Caenorhabditis elegans: one gene and its partner. The protein of the gene in region 1 interacts with the protein of each later gene in a pairwise test. Each region holds a gene or a part of one and is shown on either strand. Other genes may lie near its edges. The genes, in order: nhr-171 and nlp-25.

Region 1 (4,382 bases):
ATTTCCCAGACTCTCGAAAATAAGGGCGGTCAAAAGAGCAACGTTTCAATTGATATTGAGCTCGTAATAATTGAGTTTCCGGACTATGTCACTGAAAAAAAGTATCCTACGTGAAATCTGAAGGAAATTCAGGGAGTTAATAAGTAAAAAACAAACTGAGTTATAGAAAATTATGACGAAAAATTGAACTGTGAACAATTGAGAAGAAAACGACAAAGAAAGACTCTTATGAGTTTCGTTAAATTTAAAAATTGAAATCCAAAAGTCATAAAAAATTACAGAAATCAGGTTTAGGTAACTACTTTTTCCGCACCGTTGGACCAGAACTCCCTGCACATTTTTTGTGCTCCGTGTTGCTGACCTATAAAATGAAAACACGTGGTGAGGCAAATTCTCTAACTAGATTTCCTAAAATACTTCCTGTTAGAACAATTGAATACCTGAGGGTATTTCAAATTGAAATTTATAATATTTTTGAGTATTTATACCTTTGAAATAAAAATCTACATTTACAACCTTTTCACTGACAACTTTTTCAAGATTTTTTGTATACGGGCAACCGACATTGATCGAGGTCTGCAATCGTCCACATACACCTATTCCTATACTGTGGTAAATAACTGATTTCTGCAAGAGTACTGTAGAAATACGGCGGAGTACTGTAGGATTACTTTGCTGAAACATGAACCGCGTGCAATTTAACATTTGATGTATTTATTCCAAAAAAGTAAACAAAAATTCATATCCTATAAGTATCTGAGACAAGTTTCTTGACCCGAAAATCAGGTAGGAGAGCTTGAGTCATGATGCCAATGTACTGAATTTCTGATGTATTTTTTTGAACGATTTGATATAATGATAAGAGATCAACCAGACGAGATGGAGCACGATGCTTGTAAGTCAATTGGCAATATTGAAATAGCGCATTTGTGTACAGTTTTTGCCAGGAGCCAAGTGTACTTTTTGCCGAGTCAGACATGCTGTCTACTGAAAATTGTAGGTTTAATGTAATTGAGTAAGATGTGACCTAATTGCAGCTTAATTAATATCACAAAGGTTGAGAGGACTTGCTATAAATTAAAAAATTACCAGTATTGAAAAAGAATATCAGATTGAGCAGAACAAACTCCTCATTCGTGATTTCTAGCTCAATCAACCTTGCAATCACTTGACAACACACTCTACGCAGCAACTGTGGAGATGTATTCAATAACTTGACCAGAATTTCGGGAAGTATTTCTTGACCACCTGGCGTTACCATTTTGTCTCGTTTTTCTTTATATCCGCGCATTCCGCCACAAAATATATTCGATCTGAATGAGTTGGCTTGGAATAGTTTCATCTGCAAAGTTTTATAATTGGGATTAACTGAAGTTGTTTTAAAACCTTATCATCATTATTGAGTTTATCAATAAAATGAAACGATGTAAAATATTCAATTATGTTATAAGCTGCAAGAAACGACCACTCGATGGTTGTAGTTGTATGATCCTGATAATCAAAAATTGGAATTTTTAGTTGTGTACTTTTTTAAATTTCGTATTCTTAAATATAAATAAGATTAAAATAAAAATTTCAAACAAACTGAATCCCTATTTTTGTAGAAATTTGAAATTGTATAAATAACCATAATGTATTTTTCTTAATTTTTTTTTTACAAAAAAACAAAAAAATGATCACAAAAGATTTGCAAAATATCTTTTTTAACTCACGTTCTGCTCATGAACAACTATTGTATTCTTGCTCAAAATATCGTGAAGACTTGGATCCGTCGTAGTGTAAAATGTCATAAAGCGATCACAACGTTTTTCGTCTCGTAATTTCAAATCAGTCAATAAATTAGCTAGCTCATCAATTTTGTTATCTTTGAGCTCCAACGTTGTGTAGTTCGACGGGGGAAGCTTCATCCCCATTTGCAGGCATCGTTTGAACCGGCATGACCTGCACTTGAATCGAGTCCCCTTTGAAGTTTCATAGCAATTATTGATTTTCTTGCAATCGTATGATAGTTTTTCAATAATCATCCGGCGAAAAAACATTTTACATGCTTCACAGGAGACTGCCTGAATTAGAAATATTGAGTACCGAAATCAAAATAAAATCTTGCATTGAATTTACACAATTTAAAGTCAAAAACTTGTGTGAACGGAAAATTAGAAAATTAGAAAATACTTACCCCATAATATCTGGTGAACGCTGGGCGTCGGCATACAGTACATACTTTCTCAAAGTCATCCGAATCTCGCGTGATTGTAGCTGGTGTTTGCATATAATGATAAATATTGTCCTAAAAATAATTATAAATTGAAATGAAAAAAATCGTTTGATTAAATGAAAAAAAAACAGTCAATTCGAATTGAATCAAAATCAGTTGTTTTATCAAATTAAACGTTCAAGACGATATTGAATTTCAAAAAAACCACTCGACTTGGACTTTCAAAATAAAGGCCAACCTTTGAAGGTATTCCCATTGAGATTATCTCAACTTACAATCCGTCGCTGGGTAAAATGCAGCATTATAAAACGATAAACATCTGACACTTGTACTGATGCCTGTGACGTCGAATAGATATTAAAAGACATTGTAGTTTTTGTTTCACAGTACAGTGCTTTAGACCTATTGATATTGATAGACCTTTGTGGGATTAACCCATTTTTTGGTACATAATTCTGTGATGAGGGAAAAGAAACATATTGTTGTGTCGTGACGACGATAGAGAATAATAAGAATGTTTATTAGTTAAACCGGAGAAGTGTGGAATAATTCAAAATACAAGAAGAGTTCACAGTGACCCTTTGCTCACGTCGATAACTAGTAAAGGTTCACGTTCCTATCCAACACCTCCCCTCTTGTACGACAAAAACCACCAAAACTGCCTGGACTCGGAGCAGTGCGACGTCTTCCAGAGGCGGTATATCGACCTCTGTTGCGAGTGGCGGCATGATCAGTAATGGGAGCTGATCCTCGCACGACCTGTCGGCTTTGGTTTTGACGAAGAGACGATTCCTTAGTTTAGTAATGTAATAAACTACTCGTCTTCTCTCCTTGTTCGGCCTCAGTACACAACATTGGCGATCAGGATCATTGAGAGCTCACTGCATCCCACCGTACTTTATGGATAAGTTGGTTCAGAGAAGGGGAGAGGCACATGGTGTGCGCTCGGCAGATGGAGTCAAGGTGGACAGGAGCGACTTCAGGGAAGTTGAGAAAAAGAAGAAGGAATCGGGATCCTCAATTCTCGGAAGAGCGAAGCCGCCTACGTGTTCCGACCGGAATTGGACGCGTTGCACCTGTGTGGAGAAGGTTGGAGGAACAGCAAGTGTGAACAACTGAGGTACCATGTGCAAAGGATTGGCAAAAGAGATTGAGATGAGTTTGCCAAAAAGGTTTCAGGCACCTTATAGTCTTAGGAGAAGGTTGGAGGAACATCAAGTGTGAACAACTGAGGTACCGTATAGATGAACTGGCAAGATCCGGATGGAGGAACGGTCGCACTCGTGTGGTCCGTAAGAAGCCTCAAAGATGCAAGCCACTGACATGAAATATGAGGATCGCCCCCTTGTACCAGTTTTTGTTGGTGTGCGCTCGTGCAGTGAGCTCTCAATGATCCTGATCGCCAATGTTGTGTCGTGACGACGATAGAGAATAATAAGAAGGTTTATTAGTTAAACCGGAGAAGTGTGGAATAATTCAAAATGCAAGAAGAGTTCACAGTGACCCTTTGCTCACGTCGATAACTAGTAAAGGTTCACGTTCCTATCCAACACATATGCAAGCTATTTTTAGAATATAAACAATTCATCATTAATGTTAACATGTTTTATATCATATACGCATCGGAAACAAGAGTTTTAGCGCGAAACCCGGGGACAAAAGTTTGTAACATAATTCCAATGTATTTCATTTCGGAAGAAGTTTTTTGAATAATTTGACATAAAGATAAGAGATCTGCAAATCGAGATGGAGCACGACGTTCATATTTCAATTGGCAATACTCAAAAAGTGCGTTGGTGAAGAAGTTTTGATGAGAAGCCAAGGAGATCTTTGCGGATTCGGATAGGTTGTTGTCTGCAAAAAAGGACACCATTTGATTTTTAACTTTGCCGCATTTAATATTTGAATGTTTCACCACTAAGATCTAACACGGAAACTATGGGCGAAGAAAGTCAAGCATCGTCTAAATGAGGAGATTTGATTGGCCAAGTTCAAAGAGTCAGGTCACAGGCTACAAGCATTAAGAAACAGACATGAAATCGTATCGTTTTTTTAAAGAAAAGATAAAGAATTTAAAATAAAAATAACAACTTACCTATCCTCAAAAAGAATATTAGATTCAGCAAAATGAACTCCTCATTGGTCATCTTTAGCTCAATTATTATTG
Region 2 (5,030 bases), about 12 Mb from region 1:
GCAACGAAACAAAGCCATTTCTGACTGGTCAGAATCGCTGAGACAAAGCTGCTTTTATACCCGCCGCCGAGTGATGTCACCATACAGTTTTTCTTCTCGAAAATCCAATAGACTATCAATCAAATGGGTACACCAAATAGGAAACTGATATGATAAAGACGCGCGGGCAAAGACTGCCTATTCTGATTTGTGCGCGCCGTCTTACACTAACTAATTTGAACCGCCGCTTTCATCTTTTGTCCGCGGTTTTTTTCGAGACTTTTCAACTAAACACTTTAAAATGTACGGCAGTTTGTTCAAAATTTTGCGCTGATCATTTCTGCAGTGAAAATTTTTTCGATATCCCTTACCGTTAAGGAGCTACGCGCGCTCAAAGTTTTAATGCCAAAATAGTGTGGGAGGGGGAGAGACGCAGGGTGCGTGCCTCTCTACACTCTCCCCCTCCACCACACTCTCTCACCCCTCACAGTTTTGAACCGTCGTATCTCCGCGGAAAGCAGAGATATTGAAATTTTTTCAACTGAAAAAATTTTTCAAATTGTCTGCTCTATAAGATGAAGTTATTTATTTTTTTAATTTCAAAAAAAAAAACAATTTTATACAGAAAACATGTAGTTAAAATTATTTTCCAATCGCCTCAGACACTTCCTCAGCTACCAAGACACCTTCTGCAACTTCTGTTCCAATTCTAGCTGCATTCTGCACATTATAGGCTTGCTGTGCTCCAAAACCACCTGAAAATATAAAATTTGGGTTTCTAGGCCACCAACTTCAAACAACAATAACTTTGCTTAAAATTGATATTTTTCAATTTTCGAAAAATTATATTCATCTATGGAAAGTTGGCCGCATTTTTAGCTAATTTAATTTTTTTATGGCCTAGAAAACATGAAACTTGGGTTTCTAGGCCACTAACTTCAAATGGTTATAACTTCGGGAAAAAGTGAAGTTTTTCAATTACAGGAACACTATACTTATCTCTGAAAAGTTATGCTCATTTTTGCATAATTTAAGTTTTGATGGCCTAGAAAATTCAAACTTTGTGTTTCTAGGCCACCAACTTAAACCGGCGATATTTTGGCTCAAAACAGGGTTTTTTTTCTCAAAATTCAGATACATAACATTCATCTATGAACAATTATGCGCATTTTTATCTTACTTAACTTTTGATGGCCTAGAAAATCCAGAATTTGGGTTTCTATGCCACAAACTTCAAACGGCCATAACTTGGCTCAAACTCAATATTTCTGGGAATTTACAAAATGCACCATATTCCACATTCAATTTTACACGTTTTTTAGTTTACCTCCATATCCGCCACCATATCCTCCACCTCTGCCATAACCCCCATACGGGTTACCATATCCACCTCCATTATTCCATCCACCACCCCATTGGCACTGTGCCAAGTGTAAGAAGCACACTAATAGCAGGAGAAGCGCAATTAGTGATTGCATATTGAAAAAAAAATCTGGGAAAAGAAGATATCGATAAAATTTGGTTGAAAAATATCTCGAAAAGTGTAGAAAAATAATTGAAGTTTATAAGAAAATCAACGCATTTTATACTATACAATTTTCAAGGTGACGTCATTTTTATCAATATGCCGAATCTGTTTCGATGATCGGCGATGATCATTAAAACAAGACAATTCTGGTCCAAAATTTTACACTTTACCCCGAAAAACTGGAGAAATTCGGTGAATTCTACACTTTTTTTTTGGTCGGAAAACGTTGTTATAATCACAAAGGCTTGATCAAATTAACATTTTGACCTGACAAAAACATTTGTCCCCTAAAATTGTCTAAATATTTGAATTCTTTTTGTGAAAAGTTTTCTTAATGAACGCAAAATGTTGCGCTAAACATTTTTCTTTTACGAATTTTTTCGATATCTCTGACCGTTAAGAAGTTATGCGCGTTCGAAGTTTTGAAGCGAGACAGTGTGGGTGGCGGAGAGACGCAGGGTGTGTGCCTCTCTGCGCTCTCCCTCTCCACCATACTCTCTCACCCTCCAAACTTTGAACCTTCATATCTCCGCGGAAAATGAAGATATCGAGAAACTATAAAAGACAAAAATGATTGTTATGTGATGTTCTTTCAGAATTTTGCATCAAAATTTTGAAAAATTGAAAAAAAGTCTGAAAATTTTATTCAATTTGAAATATTTCAAATAAATGCTGCCCCTCTGTACGCAAAATGTTGTGCTGAACATTGCTCCAGTTGGAAATTTTTCAGTATCTCTAACCGTTAAAAAGTTATGCGCGCTCAAAGTTTTGAGGTGAGAGAGTGTGGAGGGGGGTAAGACGCAGGGTGCGCGAGCCTTTCTGCGCTCTCCCCCTCCACCATACTCTCTCACCCTCCAAACTTTGAACCTTCATATCTCCGCGGAAAATGAAGATATCGAGGAACTATAAAAGACAAAAATGATTGTTATGTGATGATCTTTCAGAATTTTGTATCAAAATTTTGAACAATTGACAAGAAAATCTAAAAAGTTTCTTCAATTTTATAATTTTCAAATAAATGCTGCCTCTCTGTACGCAAAATGTTGTGCTGAACATTGCTCTAGTTGGAAATTTTTCAGTATCTCTAACCGTTAAGAAGTTACGCGTGGCCGAAGTTTTGAGGCGAGACAGTGTGGAAGGGGAGAGACGCAGGGTGTGTGCCTCTCTGCGCTCTCCCTCTGCCCCACACTCTCTCCCCCTCCAAACTTTGAAGCGTCCTAACTCCGCGGAAAATGAAGATATCGAAAATTTTTCAACTAACAAACTGGTTCAAATTTTCAGTAGAACACGATTTTTCTAATATCGAATCCTGAAAACTGGAAAATTGTGTAATTCAGAAGCAAAATATTAGCTTTATTCAATATAAAAAATCGGGGGAAAAACGACAAAGTTGGTCAAAAAAATTTTAAAAAGTTTCGAATCACATTTTGATATTGCAAACGGAAGGAGGCAACACCGGAGTAGGACAAGGAGATCAAAAATGGCAAAAAAATGGGACAAAACGGGGGAGCGAACACAGAATTAATCACAGGTGAAAAAATTAAAATAATGATAAAATACAAAAATATAGGTTTAAACCTCTTCGAAATTTGAAATCAGCGGTGTGGTTACTGTAGCGTAGATCCCGCCGGTCGGGCAGTTGGACAATTGATCTACCGTACACTGTGGGAGACTACCGTTCCCAGAGGATGCTGAAGTGGCAGTTGATGACGTGGATCCGACGCTAATACGTGGCAGACCATCTGATGACGTAGTAGTCGTGGTGGTGACCTGGAGGGGCTCCCGGTGTGACTGGCTCGCGTGGAGCATTGGCGACTGCGTGGGCGGCAGGGGAATCGTCGGGATCACTGTAGGCAGTACTGTGCCCAGCTGAGTTGAGGTAGAGAAGTACGCGTCGTTGGATGATGAAGTCGGTGGAGCACAACACGGCGGTCGGGTGTTCAGAGTCATTTGGAGCTCCATGATCTTCTGAGTGAGCACGTCGATCTGGGAGATGAAGTGGTCCTGGGTACGGTGCATCTCCCAGAGGGTCTCGTGCATGTCGCTGTGCAGTTTTCCGACGTCTAGCAGAGAATTTCCTTTTTCTTGGAGCTTTCGCTGGTCCCACTTGATTCGACGGAACTCGTTGATAGAGTGGAGGAAGCGGCGTTGATGGTGGCGCAGTCGCAAGTCGTCACCCTTGTGCAGAGCTTTTTTGTACTTGTGGATGAACCTGAAATAGGAAAATTGAGAAAAATTTAAATAGACCATAGAATTTGGAGCATTTCATCAGTTGGAAATTTTTTGATAGCTCAATTCCCCGCAGAGATACAGTGGTTTGAACTTTGAGCGGTGAGAGAGCGTATAGGAGGGGGAGAGCGCAGAGAGGGGTGGCGTCTGCGTCTCTCGCCCCTCCACAATGTCTCAACGCAAAACTTTAAATGGTTACATCTCATTTACGGTAAGATATATCAAAAATTGTTCAACTGAAGAAATGATCAGCATAAAATGTGGAGTAGGAAAAACTTGACATATAAAAATTCAAAGTTTGCAAGTGTTGTTTTTCGAAGGGAGTAAAGTTTTTTTTATTATTTTCATGCAGAAATCAAATAGAGCTTAAAAATCTGCATCATTTATGTTTTGGAAATTTTTTGGTATCTCTAACCGCTGTCGAGATAAACGCGTTCAAAGTTTCGGCGCCCGAGAGAGCGTGGTGGAGGGGGAGAGTGCAGAGAGCGGTGGCGTCTGCGTCTCTCCCTCTCCACACTATTTCGCCGGCTGTAACTTTAAACGCGTGCAACTCCTCGGCGGATGGAGATATCAAAAAATTTTCAACTGATGAAATGCTCAGCATTAAATTTTGCGTTGATTGAATTTGGATTTCACAAATTTTGCCACTTTACAAGTATTCTGCTCACCATGTCTCCTGAAGCACGCTAGCTGCGGCATTCTTCCGTTGATTGGTAAGCTTCGAGTCGGCCATAAAATTGTTCACGTGCTTCTCGGCTCGTGAGAGCTCCAATTTTCGCGAAATAATTGCAATTAGAGCCGACGAGACACCGGCTCCCTGGAATTGAAAAATTTTGCACTTTTTTTGGCCCAAACTCTAGAAAGCCTACCACAATTCCAGTAGTAATAGATAAACACCGTCCACAATAAGTGTTCGGGACGATATCTCCGTAGCCGATAGACATGAATGTGACCATTATGAACCACATCGAGTTGAGGTAGTAGTGCTCCACTTCCAGTTGGCCGTCGTATCTAGAAATTTCCAAAATTTTCAGCTTAATCTCGGCTTCAAGGGGACTTACCGCTCGCATTGGGTGAACATCCACGACATGCACATCCAGTATGACAGTGTGAACACGATCAGGACCCTCAATGGATGATCAGCCATCATGGTCTTGATCACGAATCGAAAATCCATGGAAATCCGGTTCAGTGCTGCGATGGACCGGGTGGCGGCGTCCTGAAAACTCGAAAGTTCAGATTTTTCCGTTTTTAAGTTTCACCGGACCTGAAACTGTTTGCTGTGTAAAACCAT

The links.
Region 2: the proteins of nhr-171 (region 1) and nlp-25 interact in a two-hybrid assay, tested with the Caenorhabditis elegans proteins (one large-scale study listed by BioGRID).

The regions. Positions count from the first base shown.
Region 1 is NC_003283.11:7,510,042-7,514,423, reverse strand, and holds nhr-171 (Nuclear receptor domain-containing protein), read right to left. Parts: upstream 2,660-4,382; 5' UTR 2,584-2,659; coding exon 2,491-2,583; intron 2,288-2,490; coding exon 2,177-2,287; intron 2,064-2,176; coding exon 1,713-2,063; intron 1,492-1,712; coding exon 1,387-1,491; intron 1,343-1,386; coding exon 1,090-1,342; intron 988-1,089; coding exon 740-987; 3' UTR 698-739; downstream 1-697. Other genes in the region: nhr-172 (Nuclear Hormone Receptor family), read right to left, coding at 3,822-4,069, 4,311-4,382.
Region 2 is NC_003283.11:19,603,938-19,608,967, reverse strand, and holds nlp-25 (Neuropeptide-Like Protein), read right to left. Parts: upstream 2,789-5,030; 5' UTR 1,458-2,788; coding exon 1,307-1,457; intron 735-1,306; coding exon 622-734; 3' UTR 549-621; downstream 1-548. Other genes in the region: kcnl-1 (Calmodulin-binding domain-containing protein), read right to left, coding at 3,080-3,719, 4,405-4,553, 4,606-4,747, 4,798-4,955, 5,004-5,030.